3 linked regions of the Alligator mississippiensis genome follow. The protein of the gene in region 1 purifies or fractionates together with the protein of each later gene. This does not show direct contact. Links are inferred from orthologs where the notes say so. Each region holds a gene or a part of one and is shown in the gene's direction. Other genes may lie near its edges.

Region 1 (7,249 bases):
CCCATGCCAGGGCCAGGAGTGGCAGGAGCATGGAGCCTGGACTTGGAGGAGCACTGGCAGGGGCTCTGCCTGCCATGGGGGGGGTGGGCAAACCCTCCCCCTCCACACATGCCACAACTCTCCCCAGCCACTCTCCCCCCCACATACTCACAGTCTCCCATAAACCCCATACTCACCCACACCCATGTTCTCCCACCCCACATACACATACACACCTATCCACCCCCACAAGCTCCACACCCACACCTTCCCCCACACTCCACATACCCACACATCCACAGTCCCCCACAAACCTATACCCATGCATCCATACCCCCACATGTCCCCCATGTGTAAGATTTCCTTTTTAGCTATTATACAATCACCTCTATGCACACTATACAAACACAAACACAGGTAAATCAAGACAAAAATGTTTTTTGAAATCACATTAATGAATGTCATAGCAGATATTTGATTTTTTAGAATATAATTTGGTATTTTTCTGGTTCCGAGATGGCAACCCCCCCTTGCATGCTTCTGGGGGGCAAGAGGACAGACTTCTGGTGGCAAAGGTCAGGGGTTAGGGGGCAGGACTTCCAGTCCCAAGATGGCAACCAGGGGGTGGGGCACCTGTCAAGGGGTGGGGCTAACCTTGTGGCCCTCAACAGCTTGCCAAAACTCAGTAAGCGGCCCTCCGCCCAAAATAATTGCCCGCTCCTGCTTTACCGTCTGCCATATAAAATGATCACAGCATTAATATTGGCTCCTACTAAATCCTGTGATTTTTTGATGAATGCTGTCATTGTAGCAACACCGAAAGTATATGGTTTAAAGTTTTGCTCTCTCTGTGGTCTCTGAAACTAGTATTTGTTACTGTTAAATATATATTATAACATTAAGTGAAATTTAGACACTGCAGAATCGCAGGTGGTTGTGAGCATTATTGAGAGGATATGTTTGTACTACAATCTAGAGATTTGATGCAACTTGTATAGTGCCAGCTTCAGACCAAATAGCTTGGGCACTAGTAATAGCAGCATGGACATTAGTGCAGGCCGCATGAATCTCCCAAATGCTTGTAGTCTGTACTGCTATAGCTAGATTGCTACCGCTAGTTGATTATAGGCTAGTTTGGAGAAATCCACATGAGCTGTCATTACACCTTTGGACTGTAGCTAAAACATACTGATAAGAGAAATGTTTTGTATTCAGCACTGACTGAAGGCCCAGTCCCAATCACAGTGGAGTCAATCAGACCTTTTAGCAGATGTTACAATGAGTCAGATGAGGCCCCAGAAAATGTAAAGTAGCAAAATTCAGGAAATTTGACAGTTTTGTCAGGGAATGTTTCAGTTGTACCAGGGGACTCTACAGTTTTGTTTGTGTGGCTATGATATTTCTTTCTAGATTAATTGTCCTTCCTTTGCTCATTCTTCTGCTTCTTAAATGTTTTAAGTACTTTTAATATGTACTGCACCATATTGCACTGGTGATTTCTGCCAGCAGGAGCCTTCTAAATGCACTATGTGGTTTCCAGATTTTTTATTATGTTCCTTTCTCTGAAGCACTGGATACTGGCCATGAATGACTAGTGATAGGAAATTGGTCTCGGTATGCTTGTGATAGTAGTAATACTTTATTTACAGCTTTCATTGGAACAATACAATAGAATTAACAGTAAAATAACATATATAATAATAAAATGTCATAAAAGCATACAATTATGTTACACATTCTACTAATTTAAACAAAAGTGACATAGAGCATAATATATGATGATACAAAAAATAGATAAATAAAGCAGTAGTAAAAATGAAAAGCAGGGAATTCTATTTGATTTTGGCCCTTATTTTTTGTTCAAGTAGGGCAAATATGCCAATGGAGTATATGATAGACTGTAAGTTGTTAGAGAGGAGCCAAACTGTCTTTTCTTCATTAGCCCAGTACTTAAAATTTTCCACTATGCCCATGTATGCTTGCTTATGTTCCTACTGGTACTGAGGAAACGGCTCATATGCCTGGCTGTTGGGCCTTGCTCATGCACTTAGGATGGAATTTTCCTCCAGTCTGTTTGGCACCGACCCCTGGAACATTTTTGTTTTCCCCTGTAGGAGTGTATTTTACCTAACAAATTCCCTACTGGAGTAGGAGCCAAAGTACTGCAGTCCTCGTTTCTCCTGCTCTTTTCCTGTGCTGTGTTGTAAGCATTCTTTGATTGTTTTCACTTTCTTTCTGGCTGTGGTATATGGAAGAAGCTGGACTTCTTGTGGACCATTTAGACAAACATTTATTACATGCATGTCTGCAATCCCAAAAAGTCCTTTCTGTGCTCCTAAAATGAAAGGTGAAAGAGAAACAAATATTCTAAAATAGTTTGGTTCATGTTTTCTTCAGGTGGACCAAGATGTGTTTTACTTTAATTAATATCACTGACAACCATTGCCTCTCTGTAGAAAAAACCCCAGATTCTCTTTGAGGTAAAATATAATTAAATAGAACAATATTACAGAAAGCTTGTATGTCAGCAAATTATGAGAAAAAAAATCTAAAATCTTTTAAAGATAGCTTATTCAGTAAGCAAATTGTGAGCATACATTGTCACCAAACATTTCATAAATATATTGGACAAGTTTCATGCAACCATTCATAGTTTTGCTCTTTTGTTATTAAAATTTAGGACAAGGTGGGTTAAGTAAAAAATAGTAGGTGATTTAAAAAAATCAAAGTGACTTGTCACCTGTGAAAAGTCAGGGTTGTGTAAATTTTTGTAGAATAAATATTTTCTTTGGATTTCCACTCACCCTGAGAATGTGAGTTCATATTTTCAAGAAATACATATTATCTTAACTAGTTCATGCTTGAAAATCTAGCTATGGCTTTTCAGACCACATCACAATCTTTTAAAATATCAACATTTGCAATATACCCGTGTGAGGGGTAAATACTATCATCCCCACTTTACAGAGGGGATATAGAGGCACTAAGAAACTAAATCAATTTCTGTGGGAGTGTGGTATCTAAATGTCTTTGTGGGCATTGACCCAAGTGACTTGCTGAGAGTCATACAGGAAATCTGACAGAGAAAAGATCCAAACCCTGTTTTTCTGATCCCCAGGATAACTCCCTAAGCCCTAGTCTTTGGAGACAACATAGTGCAGAGATGCCTTGCAGAGATCTAAAGGACAATTCTAACACAATTGGAACATTGATTTGTGTGGCACTAGGCATCTGGCTGGAAATGTACATTATTTTATCAATAAGTGAAGCTTAAAATTGCAAAGAGGGGTTGAAAATTTAACTAAAAATGTTCAGGCACACCAGTCAAGCTGCACATAAAAAAGCAATCTGTAAGGAAACTGGCAGCATATGCTGAGCATCTGGTGCATCTCCACATATTCATAATATCTGATACCCTGGGATGGAAGGAATTAGGATGCAGTGACAGCAGAGACTTGCATTATGCTTTCCCAGTCTACAGAAATTGGGAATCGGTTCTAACTCCAAACAAGCTCTTGGGCTGGGCTTTCTTTTAGGCCAATGTCTGATACCTTTTGGAGGCTGGGCTGGGTTTGTTTTCCACACCTTTTAAACGAAGAGGTTGAGTGTGCATATATTTTGGAGGGTGAGGCTGTGGAACAGGCTGCCCAGGGAATCTCCTTTCCTGGAGGTTTTCAAGAGGAGGCTGAATAGGGATTTGACAGCGGTGCTTTAGCACTAGCAGAAGGCTGTCATGTTATGCACTGCCTAAATCCGAGAGAGGTGCAGAAGCTTTCCTAAAGAGACTGTCTAAATCAGAGATGCATAAGCTTTCCAAAGCAGTGGCTTGCTTCACCAGACCCTGTGCCAGTTATGTATGTGCGCGGGGGGGCTGGACCTTGATCCCTGAGGTCCCTTCCAACCCTAGGCTTCCCTGGGAGGCTGTTGACACATCCTCGAGACATGGAGATTGGGACACTTAAAAAAAGCAAAACCGCAGAACCAGGCGTTCTTTGTCAGAGGATTAGAGAAGGAAAAAGAAAATAAAAAGGAGGAAAAAAGAGGCCAGGCTGTGGTCCAGCAGCTCCTCTGGTTTCTCTTGCCCTGGAACTGAAACCTCGCAGCCTGCCTGTGTGCGTCTCTGCCTCTCGCACACGGACACGCCGCTGCGGCTGCTGGAGGGAAGTGAAAATGAAATCGACTTTTCCGAGAAATGATGAAAGCGGCTCCGCCTGCCAATGAAAGGCTGCGGCAAACTTCCGCACCCCTTCCTCCGCCCCTCGCCCGCACAAACAGCCGGGAGGGGAGGGAAAGGGGGGGATTTCCAAGCCGCCGCTCCTCGCAGTTTCCTCTCCTTGTTTTGCTTTCGATCTGGCCCTTTCTCAGCCCAAGCGGCGAGGCAGGAACTTTTAGTTTTGCTCCTGCGATTATTCAGCGGGCGGTTTTCATTTCCACTTCGCCTCCCCTGGCAACGGCGGCACCTGGAGGGAACATTTAAATCCCGGCGCGCCGAGGTAATGTATTTTTTAAAAACCCGAACAAACAACAGCAAAGCCCGAGCAGAGCCCGGGCCCGGGGGGGAGGGGGGCACGGGGCCGCTGTCTCCCCTCCGCCCCCACAAACGCCAGGGCGCGGCGCGGGGGCAGCGCGGGCCGGGCCGGGCCGGGGGGGACGCGGCGGTGCCGCAGCGTGGGGGGGAGGCTGTGGCGCTGAGGCCGCCGCCTCCCGCCCTCCGGCCCGCCCGCCTGGCCTCCCCCCGCGGCGGCGGCCTAGCGGCGGCGGCGACAACCGGCCTGACTGCCTGCGCCCGGGCGGGGCCCGCTGTGTGGAGGGGGCTCCGTGACGCGAGCCCCGGCGCGCTCAGCCCCGCGGCCCGGAGACCAGGCCTGCCCGGGGCGCGGCCGGGTGCTCGGCCTTGCCCGCCGGGCCGGGCCGGGGCGGAGCCCCCTGGACACGGGCCCCTGCGGCGGGGCCGCCTCCGGCCTGCCTGCGACGGGGGCCAGGGCCAGGGCCGCGGGCACCAGCGCCGGGGGGCACTGCCTTCGCCTGCGAGCCCGGGGGAGAGGTGTGTGTGACCCCACCTCTCGTGTGTGTGTGTGTGTGTGTGTGTGTGAGACACACCACCTCTGTGTGAGCGTGTGTGAATCCGTGTGTGAGCCTGTGCACTTGTGCATGTGTGAGTTGTGAACCCATGTATGTCTGAGCCTGTGTGCGCGCGAGTGATCCCACCCCCCTTCCGGTCTGGAGCCAGCGAGCCTTGCCGTGCGGCGGCTGAGATGACCTTGTTTACATCCATGATTCTCACCCAGGGAGCCACATTCCCCCCTGGGGGATGCTGCACGGTGCAAGCCCTGTGAGGTGCATGCCCCAGATTCGCCCCATAAACACAAGAGGCGAGGACTTCCTAGGGCAGCATCCCTTATTGCACCAACTAGGATAGTGAGAGAAGCTTTCTAGTGTAAGACATCATGGCTCCAATGTCGCTCCTCATGGCTTCAATGTGGCTCTTATGACACCATCACCAGATAAACCCAGAGATGTTCATATAGGAGCCAGGAGTGTTAAAAGTATCCTGGCCTGTTGTGGTCTTTCTGAGTCTCTGCAACAGAAGAACATCTCTGTTAGTCTTCTGTAGTCAGAAATTGAGTGAAAGCTAAGAGCTGAGGTTGTCAGAGGGCTGCCTTGAGGCTGTCGAAGGGTGCTTTGAGTCTAGAAAGGGCAAGAATGACTGGTTTAGACCCTCAGAGGTATTTAGGTGCTGTTACCCTATGGTGCTTGAAACAGTTGTGGCAGATAGTTGGACCTTCAGTGCTGCCTGACAACATGTTTATAGAAGCAGTTCTAGAAATAAGATTTGTTTTACAGTGAGTGCTTTAGGATTGTGGCATAGATGGAGCAGTGATATACAGTCTCATGCTACTGAAGAAAAATGTCCTCCTGTGCAGCCTTCGACAACAGCCGATTAGCAGTCCAGTCCTGCACACCTCTAATACCTGCCCAGAGCCGTGACATCAGCAGGCACAATTTTACCTTCATGGATCCAGTTGCAGGCCTGGAGCTATAATGCATATTTTTATTTTTTTAAATCATTGCACCACTTGAACCTTGGTTTTTCAACTGGCATTGACATTTGAACTGTTCTTTACATGTGATGTTACAGGATCTGCTTTTTCCTTTCTGGTGCATACAGTGTTAATCCACACTCTGGATGGTAGTGTTAATCCACACTCTGGATGATCTTGTTCAGGGTCTGCTTTGTTAATGCTGTGTAGATGTACACCATCAGGGCAAGTGGCTGGTCCTGAACATTTTCACCCCCCCAAATTGTTTGTGAATGAAGTAGGAATTATAGCTGTGTGTAAATCCAGGCTCAAGTACCAAGGGCCTCTCTGCCCCCCTCACCCCATGAATACCGGGCACTTTGAATCCCTAGTGAAAGCAGTGAGTGTGAAGTTGCTCAGCATGCCAAAATTGGATCCTGAGGCCTGGATCCTCAGTGATATTTAGGAGCTTAAATTCCTTTGAAATTAGCTGGTGTTATGTACCTAGATAGCTTTGAGAATCTGTTCCTGAGTTGGTTTATTTTACCTTAGATGCTTTAATTTCTTTTACACAAGATTTCTGATATGTAAAATACATATATCATTATATTTAATAATATTGCATCTGAAATGAAATCCTACATTTTCACAGGGAGACAGCATTGTCAGTGACATGAATAATTCAATGAAAACACATTTGGTCTGTCTGAAGAAAACCGCAGACCAAGCTGTTCTAGTGCATTTATTCCTCTTTCCATATTTAATATTGAGAACATAGGACTAGAAGGGACCTCCAGAGTCCTGGAGTCAAGTCCCCTGTGATCCATTTGCAGTCACTCAGATAGAAGAGGCTTATTGATTTCAGGGTCAGAGTCTACCGCTTTCCTCCTGTTTAGTGAACACTTATAATTGTTAATGGTTATAAGTCTACTGGGTCAAAATTTTTATACTGCATTTTCTTGAACATAGTAAAAAATTTAAGCTAGATTAAATATTGTATGTTTGAGTTTAGTAAAAAAATATTTAAAATAAATCTCTCTAAGTTCTACATAGAATCCCTTTGGCAGAAAGTGAGCTAGTACTATAAGAAGAGAATTGACCACAGCAGAAACATTTAAATTTACCATAGCAGGAAAATGGTGATATGGTTATAAAAGTCACACATTTTACCTATAAAACAAATTATTTCTCTCTGAATCTGAATTTTTTCTATGCCTTGAAACATGGATAAGATTTCACTGTCCCTCTGC
Region 2 (7,318 bases), on another chromosome or scaffold:
ATCTCTCTATCAATCTATCCACCTATCTATCCATTTGTCTATTGACCTATTGTTATCTATCCATCTATCCATCCATCATCCATCCAATGTATCCACCTAACATCTACTTATCTGCAAGTGATCTGATGGCCACCTACTAGTTTATCAGGGGTGACCACCAGGATCTGGGGGAACGTTTGTTCACCAGAGCGCCCCAAGGGATGATGAGGTCGAATGGTCACAAACTACTACAAGATCGTTTCAGGCTGGACATAAGGAAGAATTTTTCCTGTCCGAGCCCCCAAGGTCTGGAACAGCCTGCCACCGGAGGTCGTTCAAGCGCCTTCATTGAACACCTTCAAGATGAAACTGGATGCTCATCTTGCTGGGATCCTATGACCCCAGCTGACTTCCTGCCCTTTGGGCAGGGGGCTGGACTCGATGATCTTCCCGGGTCCCTTCCAGCCCTAATGTCTATGACATCTATGAAATATGTCCATCCAGCACCCTTCCATCTATGCATCTTGCTGTCTATCCACATATCTATCCATCCACCCATCTACAACCTCTCCATCTGTCTATTGACCTATCCTTATCCCTCCATCTATCCACCATCTATCATCCATTGATCAATCCATCTATCCACCTATCATTATCCACCCATCCAGCATCCATCTAGCCATCTTGCTATCTGTCCATCCGTCTGTCTATTCACCTATCACTTATCCATCCACCCATCTATCCATTCATGTATCTATCCCCAGCATCTCTCTACCTATCCATTCATCCACCCATCTTGCTATCTATCCATCCCACTCCACCCATCCATTATCTCTCTCTCCATATAGCATCCATCAATCCATCTACTACCCATATATCTATTTACCCAGCTATCCATCCAGCATCCATCTTGCTCTCTATCCATCGCCTATCCATCTATCCCTATGTATTGACCTGTCATTTGTCCATCCATCCATCCAGCATCTATCCACCACTCTTGCTATCTGTCCATCGCCTATCCATCTCCCATATCTATCCATCCATCCACCTATTGATCTATTGATCCATCATCCATCCATCAATCCATCTATCCACCCACCTGTCCATCCAGCATTCATCCATTCATCTCTCCATCCATTCGTCCATCGTCTATCCATCCCTCCCTTCACCCCTACCTATCCATCTACCTGCCCCCCACCCCCACACGTGCTCACCCCATGTCCGCCCTGGGGCTCCGTCCATCCGTCCCGAGTGCTCCGATTCACCTTGAGCTCAAGAGGAAATGAGAGCACCAGGGAGAGGGAGCACAGGGCACGTGGGGAGGGGTGAGAGCGCCCCTGGGAGGGGGTGGGAGGACCCTGGGGGGCAGCACCCAACTGCCCCGGAAGCCCCTCGCTCTTACCCCCCAGCCCCCTCTCATCTAGAGCCAAGGGAGGGAACCCAGCACCTGGACCCTCTTTTGGGCAATGGTGGGGTCAAAAGCTCCACTCTGGGGTCTGCACCCCTTGGGGCCAGCCTGCTAGCTAGGGGTCCCAGGGTCCTGGTGTGGGGGGGGCTAAGACTCCACCCTCCAGACCCTTCCCCCCACACACTGGCAGGCCAGGGACTTGCAGAACTGCCCTTCCCCTTTGTGCCTCAGTTTCTCCAGTGCGGAGAAGCGGGGGGGGGGCAACCTAGGCCTGTGGCACCCAACACAGCCACAGCGCCCCCCCCCCGCCCCCGCACGAGGCGGAAAGCAGCCACAGGGAGGAAACGTGGCCTCGGCTCGGCTTCCTGGCGTGGGAGGAGGAGTCCTGAGGCTGGACAGATGGACAGGGCTGGGGGGGCAGTGGCTCAGACCACCCCTGTGCTCCCCAGGCCAGGGTGCCTGGGTTCTGTCCCGCCATGGGGGGCTGGGGGTGGGCAGGGAGCTGGAGCAGGCAGTGGCAGATCAGGATGCTGGGGCTCTTTCCCCGACTCAGAGAGGGCAGTTGGGGGCAGAGGTCAGTGGGGAGGGGGGCTGGACACCTGGGGTCTCTCCAGGCCATGGTGCAGGAATCAGGGCCAGGCCCGGGAAGACCCAGGAGCCTGGACCTGCCCAGGGGCCTTGGCGCAGATGCCACATCTGCCTGCCTGCCCTGGACGCCAGACCCGGCCCTGGGACCCCGTCTGGGCACCCCGGGCCCTGCAGGGCACGGGATTCCAGCCCCCCAGAAAGGCCTGGGGCAGGCCCAGGCCCTGGAAGCGCAGATCGGCCCCGCCAGGCTCCGGCCTGGGCCCCGCGGGGGGGGGGGAAGGAGGGGGGGGAGCAGATGGCCCCTTTGGGGGGGGCGAGCGGCGCGCGGCTCCATTGTGCGGCCGCCCCATCTGTCCCTTCCCGCCGCCCATTGTCCGCGGCCGCACATCTGGGCCCCGCGCCCCGCCCCCCCTTTGTCTGCCGGGACGCCGGGGTCCCCCAGCCCTGCCCCGCGGGGGGGCCCGTACCCCCTGCCCAGCACGGGATGTCCGTCCACCCCGGTGTACGGGGGGAGGGGGGCTGAGGCCTGCGCCCCCTGCAAGGGGTCGGTGCCCAGGGCCCCCCCAGCCCCACCTCCACGGGGGGGTCACTGCCCCCGGACACCTGGGTCCTATTGTGATGTCACAGGGGAAATGTCGGCCAGACGGTGCAAGGGGGGAGCAGGACTCCGGGCTCCCCAGCACAGCGCTGGGAGCTGAGGCTAGTGGTTAGAGCAGGTCGCCCCCGCGGCCCCCCCGCGCAGGGCTCGGCCGCCGCCTGCTGGCTGCCGCGGGGACTGCAGCCCGGCCCGGGTTAACCCTTGCGAGGCGGGGAGGCTGGGCACGGACCCGCTCCCCCCGGGGAGCCCGGCGGCCGCACGCGGGGTGCAGGGACCCCCCCTCGGGGCTGGGCATTAAGCAGCAGCGGGCGGGGAGGCAGTGCTGGCCTCAGCCCAGGGGCCGGCTGGCGAGGGGGGTGCAGTCCTGGATTGGGGGCCTGCCCGGGAACGGGGCGGTGTTGTGTGCTCTGAAATGTACCCACGGGTCACGTCCATCCGGCCCCCCACCCCGCTGCCTCCCCCCACGCGTGTCCCCTCGCCCCAACCCCCACATTCAGCCACACGCAGAACCCCGCCCCTGGCCTGGCCCCGCCCCCAGACGCAAGGCCGCAGCCGCGAGCTGGCGGGAGGGAACTTGGCGGCGCTCGGACCGCGCGCGATCCGCGGCAGGGGGGCGGGGCGGCAAGCGAAACCACGTGACGCAGCACAGCCAGCGCGGGGAGGGGGGGGGAGAAAGCGGAAGGAGTAGCGGGAAGGGGAAGTGCGCGCACAGCGCGGGGCATGCCGGGAGTTGTAGTGCGCCGGCTTAACCCCTTCGCTGCCGCACCCCTCCCACGGGGGAGGTCTCTGTCCTGCTCCCCCCGCCGGCCCGGCCCGGACGCCTGGGTTCTCTGCCCGCTAGTGGCTGCGATCGGACGCCTGGCAGGGGAGGGGAGGGGGAGTGCGGGCTAGCGGTTAGGGGGGGGTTGGATCCTGGCAGGGGAGGGGGGGTAGTGGGGGCTAGTGGTTAGGGTGGAGGGGTCAGACGCCTGGCAGGGGAGGGGGGGTAGTGGGGGCTAGTGTTTGGGTGGAGGGGGCAGATGCCTGGCAGGGGAGGGAAGTGGGGGCTAGTGGTTAGGGTGGAGGGGGCAGACTCCTGGCAGGGAAGGGGGGTAGTGGGGGCTAGTGTTTGGGTGGAGGGGGCAGATGCCTGGCAGGGGAGGGGGGTAGTGGGGGCTAGTGGTTAGGGTGGAGGGGGCAGACGCCTGGCAGGGGAGGGAAGTGGGAGCTAGTGGTTAGGGTGGAGGGGTCAGATGCCTGGCAGGGAAGGGGGGTAGTGGGGGCTAGTGTTTGGGTGGAGGGGGCAGATGCCTGGCAGGGGAGGGAAGTGGGGGCTAGTGGTTGGGGTAGAGGGGGCAGACTCCTGGCAGGGAAGGGGGGGTAGTGGGGGCTAGTGGTTTGGGTGGAGGGGTCAGACGCCTGGCAGGGGAGGGGGGGTAGTGGGGGCTAGTGTTTGGGTGGAGGAGGCAGACGCCTGGCGGGGGGGGAGTGGGGGCTAGTGGTTGGGGAGTTCAGACCCTTGGCAGGGGGGGGAGTGGGGGCTAATGGTTGGGGAGGTCGGACGCCTGGCAGGGGGGAGTGGGGGCTAGTGGTTTGGGGGTTCAGAGCCCTGGCAGGGGGGAGTGGGGGCTAGTGGTTGGGGGGTCGGACCCCTGGCAGGGGGGAGTGCGAGCTAGTGGTTATGGGGGGTCGCTGGGCTCCATCCGCAGCTCCGGGCGCTGGTGCACGGGTCCGGAGCGGGGGGGGCAGGACGCCGGGGTCCCCCGCGGAGCGCGCAGTGCTCGGCGCGGCGCGGCGCGGCGCGGCGCGGGCCCCTTTAAGGCGCGGACTACATGTCCCGGCGCGCCGCGCGCGGTTATGTAACGGGGCGGCGCGGCGGGCGGGCGGCGGCGGCGGCGGTCCGGCGGGGCCGGGCGATGATGGCGCTGCCGGTGGCGGGGCCCGGGCCGGGGCCGGTGGCGCTGGCGCTGGCGGGGCCGGGCGCGGCGCGGCGGCAGTGGTGCTACCTGTGCGACCTGCCCAAGATGCCGTGGGCGATGCTGTGGGACTTCAGCGAGCCGGTGTGCCGCGGCTGCGTCAACTTCGAGGGCGCGGACCGCGTGGAGCCGCTGCTGGAGGCCGCGCGGCAGCTGCGGCGCTCGCAGGCGCTGCCGGACGGGCGCTCGCCGGGGCCGCCGGCGCCCAAGCCGCCCAAGGAGGCGGAGCGCTTCGGGCTGGCGCGGCTGCCCAACGGGCTGGCGCGGGCCGAGGAGGAGCGCGGCAGCCCGACGGCGCGGCGCGCGCTGCTGGGCGCGGGGCCCGGGCCCGGGCTGGGGCTGCTGGGCGCGCCGGCGGGGCTGCTGGCGGCCGTGGCGGGGCTGGGCGGGCGCGCGGGGCTGGAGGCCAAGGAGCGCGAGCGGCAGCGCAACGCCGAGTGCCTGGCCGAGCTGAGCGAGGCCATGCGGGGCCGCGCCGAGGACTGGCTGGGCAAGCCCAAGGCGGTGCGGGAGCAGCTGGCGGCGCTGGTGGGCTGCGCGCCCTTCAACGTGCGCTTCAAGAAGGACCACGCGCTGGTGGGGCGCGTCTTCGCCTTCGACGCCAGCCCGCGCCCCGGCTACGAGTTCGAGCTCAAGCTCTTCACCGAGTACCCGTGCGGCTCGGGCAGCGTCTACGCCGGCGCGCTGGGGCTGGCCAAGCAGATGTTCCAGGACTGCGTCAAGGACCCCGGCAAGGTCATCTCCTCGGGCTACAAGTACCTGGAGTACGAGAAGCGCCACGGCTCGGGCGACTGGCGCCTGCTGGGCGAGCTCTTCACCGAGGGCGTGCGCTTCTTCCGGGACGCGCCGGCGCCCGAGGCCCTGCCCCAGCAGCACCTGGACGGGGCCTGCGCCGTGCTGCCCGGCGCGCTGCTGCGGGCCGTGCCGCCGAGGGCCCTGCTGCGGCGCCGCAAGGCGTCCCCGGAGCCGGACGAGGGCGGCGGCAACGGGAAGCTGACGGGCGAGGAGCAGCAGCAGCGGCAGCACTGGGCCTACGAGGCGGCGCCACGCAACGAGCCCTCGCCCATCGCCGCGCTCAAGAACGTGGCGGATGCGCTGGGCGCCGGCCAGTCGCCCAAGGAGGCCAACCCGGTGCACTCCACCACGCGCCAGAGCAGCGCCAGCCCCGCCTCGCCTGCCGCCACCGGCCCCCACCGCCTGGTGCCCCGCAGCGGTGACGCCGCCACGGCCGTGGCCCCCTCCTCCTCCTCCTCCTCCTCGGCGGCACACTCCTCCGGCGGCCCCGAGCCCAGCGGCAGCACCCCCGACTCGTCCGGGGGCCCCCCCAGCGCCCCGCTGTGCTGCACCATCTGCCACGAGCGCCTGGAGGACACCCACTTTGTGCAGTGCCCCTCGGTGCCTGGCCACAAGTTCTGCTTCCCCTGCTCCCGCGACTTCATCAAGGCGCAGGGCGCGGCAGGCGAGGTGTATTGCCCCAGCGGCGAGAAGTGCCCCTTGGTGGGCTCCAGCGTGCCCTGGGCCTTCATGCAGGGTGAGATCGCCACCATCCTGGCCGGCGACGTCCGTGTCAAGAAGGAGCGGGACCCCTGAGCGCCGCCGGGCTGTGGCAGGGGGAGCCCGCGTGCTGCCTGCGCCGGGGGGGCCGGAGGGACTGGCACCGCTAACTTATTGCCTTTGTCCCCGGCCGGGGCCCTGTACATAGTTTATTTTTTAATATTCCCATAGCAATCTTATATCGAAGGCCATATCAGCATAACCAGGGGTGGGGGGGCTTGCTTCGTAGCAGCTTGATGCGGGGGGGGCGATGGGGGGGCAATGGGAGGGGGCATCGTGGCTGAGAATGGATGAACTCATGTCAAGCCACCAGGGCGGGGATGCAGGGGAGTGATGTGGGGGCCCCGGATGCAGCCCGCCAGATGGGGAGGCTCCCTGTGCCCCCCCCAGGGTACAGAGGTGGGTAGAAAACGGGAGCTGGGGGCAGGCACAGGGTAGTGGCTCAGTTGGGGCATCTGGAGCCCCTCCCTCCTGACTCGTGCCCCCTCAGTCCTCCAGAGCAGGTGGGAGCCAGGACTCCTGGGGGGCAGGTGTCAGACCCGCTATCGCTATGGTGGGCACCCGAGGGGCTGGGGGGTCTCTCCCAGCTCTGATTGGCGGAGTGTGGCCTAGTGGGTGGAGCTGGGCGGCAGGGCTTAGACCCACCCTGCTTCAGTTTCTCTCGGCCTGGCTGGGGGGGTGGGGGAGCCCTCCGTGGGGGACTTGGGGGTGGGGGGTTGCAAACCTCCTCCAGGGCCATAGGGTAGCAGACCAGCCCCCTGTTACCGTGTGTGTGTAGGGGGGGAGGGGGGGCTGAGCTGGATGTGGCCTCTTGAAGAGTCCTTGTGGACCTGTGCCCCCCCCCCAATCCCATGGGGGGGCAGCTGGAATTGGGGGGGGGCATCACAGCTCCCATGATGGGACTCAGGCCTGTGGGGGGGGCTGGTCTCTGAACCAAGGGCCCCAGGCAGGGGGGGCAGAGCCAGGGTGGGGGGACAGCCTCATGATGCCAGGGCTGGGGGGGGGGGGCGCACAATACGCTCTGGGGGCTATAATGGGGGTGGGGGGTCTTCTCCATTTGTGTTTCTCTTGGTTTTTGTCAATAAACTTCTACTTCTGTTTGGCTTTGGTTACCGCTGACTCCTGGCTGGTCATGTCATTTGCGGGGGCGGGGGGCGTATCTGCCTGGAGGGGAGGGGCCTGGGTTGTGGGGAGGCCAAGCCCAGCTGGGGGCACCCCTCCCCTGGCAGGCTGCAG
Region 3 (7,540 bases), about 190 Mb from region 1:
TCTTTCTTTCTCTGTCTCTCTTTCAAATTTGGCTTTCCCCCCTCCTCCCTCCCACTTTTTTTTTTTTTTTTAAACACAGTAAAGTTTTGTTCAGTTCTCAAGTGTTATTAATCACTGGTGGAGGCCAAAAGCAGGGATATTTTTCTTGGCAGCACGTTTTGATAAACAATCTGTGTATGGGTTGAAGGGAGGGGGAGGCTGTCTTGCTGGTAACTAAGCTAATGTTTGGCAGATTCTTAACTGTCATGAAAGTGCAAGTGGCTCTCAGTGGGAATAGCCTTAAAAAAAAAGAAAAAAAAAAAAAAAAGAAGTACCGATTCAGTTGATTCATTATTGTTGATTGTTTACTACGTCCCCAGGATGTAAGCTGAATACAGTCAATGAGTAAAATAAAAATAACAACAGTGGCAAACCCAGGCTCACAAGGGGTGCAGTCCAGGGGTATCTAGGCTCTTTCAGAGCAAACAGAAATAATGATGGGTGTCTAATTTTGCACTGTAAGATTTGGCAAATGTGGGCACCTGGAAATCTGGGCCCACAGATTATTTAAAAAAGCCATAAATACAGTTGTATGAAAAGGGAAGCAGGGCTGCTTTCTGGGGAAGAAGTGGAACTTTTGCATGGTTTGGGGGGGAAACCAAGTTACCTATTTTGTACAGTGGGATCACGTAGTTAGTAGCGAAAGGGCCCCAGGAAGACAGACCCCCCTAGCAAGCCGTGCTCTGTGGTGGCAAAGGAGAAACAGCACTGTGAAAAGAAAAGAAAAGAAAAAAAGAAAATTAGCAGTGAAACCTCCTAGAAATAGAGCGCGGGACATAAGCCTCACTTACAAAGTGGTAAGCTCCAGCATGTAGAGAAACCAGTGGCAGGTTTAGAACAGAGAAAGAAAGGAAGGTGCATTCCTAGGCAGGAGGCTGGAAAGAAGGCCTGCAGACAGCAACAAGCCCCCGGAGCTGGAGTATTTTCGAATAGGGCCTGTAATCTGCAGAGAACTGGTAACTGAAACGATAAACAGAAACACGTAATTACACTCTTGCTCTTTGTAACTACGTGTTTTGACACTTCCTGGCAGTTTGCAGCAGAAGACGCTGCTGTTTCACTTTTAATTTGACAAAATTGTGGAAGTCCCTCCCCCAGTATTTGCGATGCCGTTTCAGGAGCACACTCCCCTGCACGCCTCAGCGCTTTCCAGGGTTCACCTCTTCACTGGTTTCAAGCCAGGCACTTGCTTGGGAGCGACTGCGGTTGCCGGTTGCCGCGCTGCGCCAGGGGAGATCTCTGCACTGGCCGGGCTCTGTCACGATTTCTCTTCCTTCCTGTGCCCCCTCCCCGCCCCTGCGTTGCAGCTGGAGCTGCTGCTTTGATCCCGGGGCAGGGCCACGAGAGAGGACAGATCTGATTAACACCCCCTCCCCCTTTCTGAGGTGAGCTCCTCAGGAAGGAAGAGTGTCCTTGTAGCGGCCGGGCTGCTACGTGCGGAGCGAGCCCTTGGCCCGGCCCGATCTGGGAACGGATCCGGGCTACACGTCTCATGGCAATTCCGCTTGGTTCACGGCGTCCTCATGGCTCGTGCCGAAAACCTTGGGGCTGCCGCAGGCAAGGGCTCGGTAGCAATCAGTGCTGCTCTCCCAGGGACCTCAGCCGTCCCCCCAGTGCATTTGCAAGCTGTGGCAGGGGGCTGAGCCCAGGCGAGTGCTTCCTGCCTTGGTAGGACATTGTCCTCCATGCTTGCTGCGTGTGCAGGGTCGGCCGGGTCGTGTGTCCTCTGATCTGTTTGCTTCCCTTGCTCAGATCAGAGCTTCACCTCTCGTCAGTCATGAACCTGGGGACGGGGATCGAGCGAGAGGACCCGTGGGGCCGGAACCTTCCTGCCCGGAACTGGCAGATGCTCGTGTTAGCCAGAGGGACGCCCTGGCCCCGGGGCTGCTGGCAGGTCACTCATCAGGGACCGGGGCCAGGGCCTCCCGATCGCGGCCCCTCGGCTCGGGCCGCGCCCGGCCACCAGCCCCCGCCGCTGGCGCTGCCGGGCTGCGTGTGTGCTGGCACCGGGGCACACACCTGGGAGACTTCCTTGCCTGGGCTCTTGCCTTTCCTCCTGCTTCTCCTCCACACGCGCTTTAATTCCAGGATTATTGCAGAGCTAAAGAAACATCTCTCTGGCTGAGTGGCGGCCCAAGGAGACTCACCCGGCTTCCTGCCGCCCTGCTCCTGGCCGGCGAAAGGACAGCGCGGTGGGAGAGGCGCCCTGCCGCCCTTGAGGGAGATTTTAGCGTTGACTGTTAGGTTGGCATCGTTCACTCTGCTCCCCTCCAGCAGCCCAGATGGGTCCTGCCCGGCCGCTCGGTGCCGCCGCCTCCCAGGCAGGGACCCCCGGGGCCCCGCTTCAAAGCCGGGTTTAATCATCACGGGAAAAGAAATCCCCGCTCCCACCAGCGCATCCTTCCCGGAAGAGGAAAGGCCGCGGAGCCGGCTCACACGTGCTAATCGCCCATCTTTTTCTGTTCCCAGACTAGAAAGGGAGTTGCCAGCACCCGTGAGCGCTTTGCTGAGGCTAGATCTGCTCTCTGGTTATTGTTTCCCTGCGCTGGTCTCGTGAGCCCGGGGCCTGGCCGCTCCTGCGGGGAGCCTGGGGCTTTCCCGCAGTTAGGAGTCAGAGGAGCCAGGGCGAGGGAGCGCCTTGGCATTTGTGGAGTGAAATCCAGCTCCACTCCTCTCGCATCCCCTTCCCAGAGAGCCAGGGCCGGGGGGACCTCTGCTTCCTCGGCTGGCATGATTTAGGCAAAGGGAAGACTTTTTTTTCTCATCGCCCAATTCTGTTGCTTACGTGCAGATCACAGAGCAGGGGGAAGGGGAGAGGGGGTTGCCCTTCAGGTCTGTGTGACAGCGAGCACATCGTGTTCAGACAAGTCCAGTGACATGGAGGGGAAGCCCCGCAGCCTTCCCCAAGCCCCCCGGGGCGCTGCGAGGAGAGGCCGCTCGCCCCCCGCCTCCACCTGCCTCGCTGGACTCCGCTTCAATGAAGCCTTGATATTGTCCGCAGCCTGGGTATGACACTCCTCCATGTGCAAACCATCCCCCGGGAGTTCATCTCCTACAGAAATTGTGCACGCGAGAGACTTAGCTCATCCAAGGACTTTCGGTTTTCCTTTCTACCTCGTTGCCCCATGAGCTGCCCCTTTGGAAAAATGATGGCACCTGGTCAGAGCTGGCTGGATCGGAGCCCGTCCCTTCTGTAGCTTTACGGCCTGCGTTTCAGGTCGCTTTTTCTCTTAAAAAAAGCCGGACATATCATTTCACATCAAGTTTGCCGGCTTTAAGAGCCCTGGACGTGGCCCTGAGAAGCAGCGGGGATTTGAAGGGAATCACGTTATTTGAAGAAACTTGAACAGAGCTGATACCCCGCTGGTCCCTCTTTCACGAGGCACGAAGCACTGCGTTGTTAATACTGTACGTTTTTGTGGAGAGGGGACATGGCGCCATGCCACAGAAATTAGAGCGGCCTTTGCAGGAGAGGGAGAGAAATCAAAAGGCCATTTTTTTTGTTCTCTTCTGCGTTCAATGAAGGCGAGCTGAATGAGGAGCAAAAACAAGAGAGGGGTTATCCGGCGTGACCAGCTGCAGCGTTACAGCTCGGGGAGTGCAGCAATGTTTCCCTGGCGAGGGGGAGTCACCCTGGGAGCGAGCTACATGGTGCGACCAGTGACGCAGGGCCCTGGGCACAGGAGCGCGCCAGGCTCGGGCCGCGGGGGTGGGGGGCCTGGGGCCGGGGCTTGCGGACGCTGCAGCCGCAACCTCCGCCCGGCCACGGCCACGGCCACGGCCACGCTCCAGCGTCACAGCTGCAGCCTCGAAAATAAAGCGCGTTTTCCCCTGCGAGTGCGACGCGTTCACAGCGCATTTGCATGACCTGGAGCGGCTGCTGACCAGCGCAGCCCGAGAAGGAAAACGAAAGCTCGGCGCTGCCCCTGCGTGGGGGGATCCGGCGGCCCTCCCCTGGGGGTCACCAGCCCGGCCGCGCCCAGCCCCGCCCCGCCCCGCCCCGCCCCCTGCGGCTCTGGCAGCCGGGCCCGGCTCATCTGACAGCCAGGAGCGGGCAGCCCCCTGCGGCCGGCACTGCACGAAGTGCGTGTCCTCCTGCGGCCGGGCTGCTCCGCATGTGCTTCCCGGCCGCCTCCTGGCTCGGGAGGAGCTGCCGGGGGGCTGGGAGCGGGAGCGAGTTCGTGTCTGAGTTTCCAAACATAGCCCTCGGTGCGTCTCTCCCGCTGCCTCAGCTGTCGCGCAGCCGGGAGGGAGGAAGCGGGCAGCGGGCCGAGCATGCGCAATTTCCGCGCAACAAGTGGCCTCCGCGTCCGTAGGCAGAGGAAGTGGGGGGAGGGGAGGGAGGCTGGAAAGGGGAACTGCGGCGGGGGGCGGGGCGGAGCGGGCGTGACGCGAGGGCTCCACCCCGGTGGCATCCGCGCCGCGCCGGGCGGGGGGGGCGGGGCCACGCCGGACGCGACACACTCCGGATTCCGAGCGCGAGCCCCGAGCAGCGGCGAGATGTGAGTGCGGAGCAGGCGGCGCCGCTCGCCAGCAGCGCGGAGAGCGGGCCCGGCCCGGGCGGCTCCTCCCGCGGGTCCCCGGGTAAAAGGCGCCGGGTAGAAGGCCGCCCCCCCTCGCCCCCCGCGCGGAGGAGGAGCCGCCGCCGAGAGCCAGAGCGAGAGCGCGCCGGGAAACAGCGGCGAGAAGGCGACCCCAGCCCAGCCCAGCCAGCCCCCCGGCGGAGCGGCGCGGAGCGGGAGCGGGAGCAGGCGACGCTGCCGGCGCCAGGTAGCAAGAGGGCAGCGCTGTCCGGCAGCAGCGGCGAGCCGAGCCCCCGCCGCCAGGGCCCGCGGGAGCCGGCACGGGGAGCGCCGCCGCCCGCGGCACCATGTCGGCCGCGCAGGTGTCGTCGTCGCGGAGACAGTCGTGCTACCTGTGCGACCTGCCCCGCATGCCCTGGGCCATGATCTGGGACTTCACGGAGCCCGTGTGCCGCGGCTGCGTCAACTACGAGGGCGCCGACCGCATCGAGTTCGTCATCGAGACGGCGCGGCAGCTCAAGCGGGCGCACGGCTGCTTCCAGGACGGGCGCTCGCCGGGCCCGCCGCCGCCCGTCGGGGTCAAGGCGGTGCCGCTGTCCGCCAAGGAGGCGGCGGCGGCGGCGGCAGCGGCCCAGCAGCAGCAGCAGCAGCAGCTGAACCACGTGGACGCGTCAGCCAAGGCCGCCTCGGCGGGGCTGGCGCCGGCCGGCCTCGAGCGCTACGGGCTGAGCGCGGCGGCGGAGCCGCGCGGCCGCTTCGAGTACCCGCCGCCGCCGGGCAGCCTGGCCGCCCGCCTGCCCAACGGGCTGGGCGGCCCGAACGGCTTCCCCAAGGCGCCTGAGGACGGGCCGCCCGAGCTGAACCGCCAGAGCCCCAACTCCTCGTCGGCCTCGGCGGCGGCGTCGTCGCGGCGCGGCGCGCACGGCGGACTGGTGGCCGGGCTGCCGCCGGGCGCGGGCGGCGCCGGGCTGAGCGTGCCGCCCAACCTGCTGCCGCAGACGCTGCTGAACGGCCCGGCGGCCGCCGGCGTGGCGCTGCCTCCCCCGCCGCACGGCAGCCTGAGCGGGCGCGGCGGCGGCGGCCCCCCCGCGGCCTCGGGCTCGGCGCCGGCGGGCGCGTGCGGCGCGGGGCCGGGCGGCGCGGGGCCGGGCGGCGGCGGCGGCGGCGGGCCGGGCCCCGGCGCGGCGGGCGACAAGCGGCCCGGCTCGGTGTCCAGCAGCGAGCAGGAGCGCGAGCTGAAGGAGAAGCAGCGCAACGCCGAGGCGCTGGCCGAGCTGGGCGAAAGCCTGCGCAACCGCGCCGAGGAGTGGGCCAGCAAGCCCAAGCTGGTGCGCGACACGCTGCTGACGCTGGCGGGCTGCACGCCCTACGAGGTGCGCTTCAAGAAGGACCACACGCTGCTCGGCCGCGTCTTCGCCTTCGACGCCGTGTCCAAGCCGGGCCTGGACTACGAGCTGAAGCTCTTCATCGAGTACCCCAGCGGCTCGGGCACCGTCTTCTCCAGCGCCTCGGGCGTGGCCAAGCAGATGTACCAGGACTGCATGAAGGACTTCGGGCGCGGCCTGTCCTCGGGCTTCAAGTACCTGGAGTACGAGAAGAAGCACGGCTCCGGCGACTGGCGCCTGCTGGGCGACCTGCTGCCCGAGTCCGTGCGCTTCTTCAAGGAGCTGGTGGGCGCCGACATGCTGCCGCAGCCCTACCTGGACGCCAGCTGCCCCATGCTGCCCACGGCGCTCGTCAGCCTGCCCCGGCCGGCCGGCGGCCCCGCGGCGGGGCAGGGCGCGGCGGCCGGCTCGGCGCGGGGCCCGGGCGGCGGCGGCGGCGGCGGCGGCGGGGGTGGGCTGCGCAAGAGGAAGGCGTCCCCCGAGCCGCCGGACTCGGCCGAGGCGGGGCTGAAGCTGAGCGAGGAGCAGCAGCGGCAGCAGTGGATGGCCAGCCAGAGCGAAGCGCTCAAGCTCACCATGGCGGCGGGCGGCTTCGGCGCCGTGCACGGCGGAGGCCCGCCGCCGCCGCCGCCGCCGCTGGGCCCGCACCCCAACCGGACCACGCCGCCCGAGGCGGCCCCGCAGAACGGGCAGTCGCCCATGGCGGCGCTCATGTCCGTGGCCGACACGCTGGGCACGGCGCACTCGCCCAAGGACGGCAGCTCCGTGCACTCCACCACGGCCGGCCGCCGGAACAGCAGCAGCCCCGTGTCCCCCGCCTCGGTGCCCGGCCAGCGCCGCCTGGCCTCGCGCAACGGCGACATGAACCTGCAGGTGGCCCCCCCTCCCCCTAGCGCCCACCCTGGCATGGACCCCGTGCACCCCCAAAACATTCCCGACTCGCCCATGGCCAACAGCGGCCCCCTCTGCTGCACCATCTGCCACGAACGCTTGGAGGACACGCACTTCGTGCAGTGCCCGTCCGTGCCCAGCCACAAGTTCTGCTTCCCCTGCTCCCGAGAGAGCATCAAGGCCCAGGGGGCCACGGGCGAGGTCTACTGCCCCAGCGGAGAGAAATGCCCCCTTGTCGGTTCCAACGTGCCTTGGGCGTTTATGCAGGGCGAGATCGCCACCATTTTAGCCGGGGACGTGAAAGTGAAAAAGGAGAGAGACCCTTGAACTAGGCCGCCCAGCCCCTCCCTCCAGGCTCCTGAACCTGTAGAATTGTGAATATAACGGACTGCAACAAAGTTAGTCTGATGTATAGACATTATTTTCGTCGTACGTTTCTATATTTTGAAACAAAGGTATGTACTCTTCTTCATTTGAAGGATAGAGCTGGTTTTTGTTAAACAGAATATAATATTGTTTGGTTACTCCATAAGCCCTGGTCTCATTTCTTTGGCAGTGTGTTGGCTAGGTACACAGTTAATAGCCCTTAGCGATTACCTGCTGCTGGTGTGTATTTTTGTAAATGTATGCACTTCTCTGACAGAAGAAGAAGAAGAAAAAAGAAAAAAATACAACTTTTTTTTTTTGCCAAGGCCAGTGTTG

What was found.
Region 2: the proteins of IRF2 (region 1) and IRF2BP1 purify together in Homo sapiens (affinity purification with mass spectrometry; 4 studies listed by BioGRID and IntAct, counting the BioPlex papers as one, with this or other methods). This does not show direct contact. The link is inferred for Alligator mississippiensis from reciprocal best matches to the Homo sapiens genes IRF2 and IRF2BP1.
Region 3: the proteins of IRF2 (region 1) and IRF2BPL purify together in Homo sapiens (affinity purification with mass spectrometry; 3 studies listed by BioGRID and IntAct, counting the BioPlex papers as one, with this or other methods). This does not show direct contact. The link is inferred for Alligator mississippiensis from reciprocal best matches to the Homo sapiens genes IRF2 and IRF2BPL.

Annotation. Positions count from the first base shown.
Region 1 is NC_081825.1:71,102,081-71,109,329, forward strand, and holds the start of IRF2 (interferon regulatory factor 2), read left to right. Parts: upstream 1-4,244; 5' UTR 4,245-4,472; intron 4,473-7,249. UniProt on the Homo sapiens protein: Specifically binds to the upstream regulatory region of type I IFN and IFN-inducible MHC class I genes (the interferon consensus sequence (ICS)) and represses those genes. Also acts as an activator for several genes including H4 and IL7.
Region 2 is NC_081838.1:466,324-473,641, reverse strand, and holds IRF2BP1 (interferon regulatory factor 2-binding protein 1), read left to right. Parts: upstream 1-4,304; 5' UTR 4,305-4,384; coding exon 4,385-6,118; 3' UTR 6,119-6,962; downstream 6,963-7,318. UniProt on the Homo sapiens protein: Acts as a transcriptional corepressor in a IRF2-dependent manner; this repression is not mediated by histone deacetylase activities. May act as an E3 ligase towards JDP2, enhancing its polyubiquitination. Represses ATF2-dependent transcriptional activation.
Region 3 is NC_081825.1:262,647,314-262,654,853, reverse strand, and holds the start of IRF2BPL (probable E3 ubiquitin-protein ligase IRF2BPL), read left to right. Parts: upstream 1-4,526; 5' UTR 4,527-4,909; coding exon 4,910-7,165; 3' UTR 7,166-7,540. UniProt on the Homo sapiens protein: Probable E3 ubiquitin protein ligase involved in the proteasome-mediated ubiquitin-dependent degradation of target proteins. Through the degradation of CTNNB1, functions downstream of FOXF2 to negatively regulate the Wnt signaling pathway.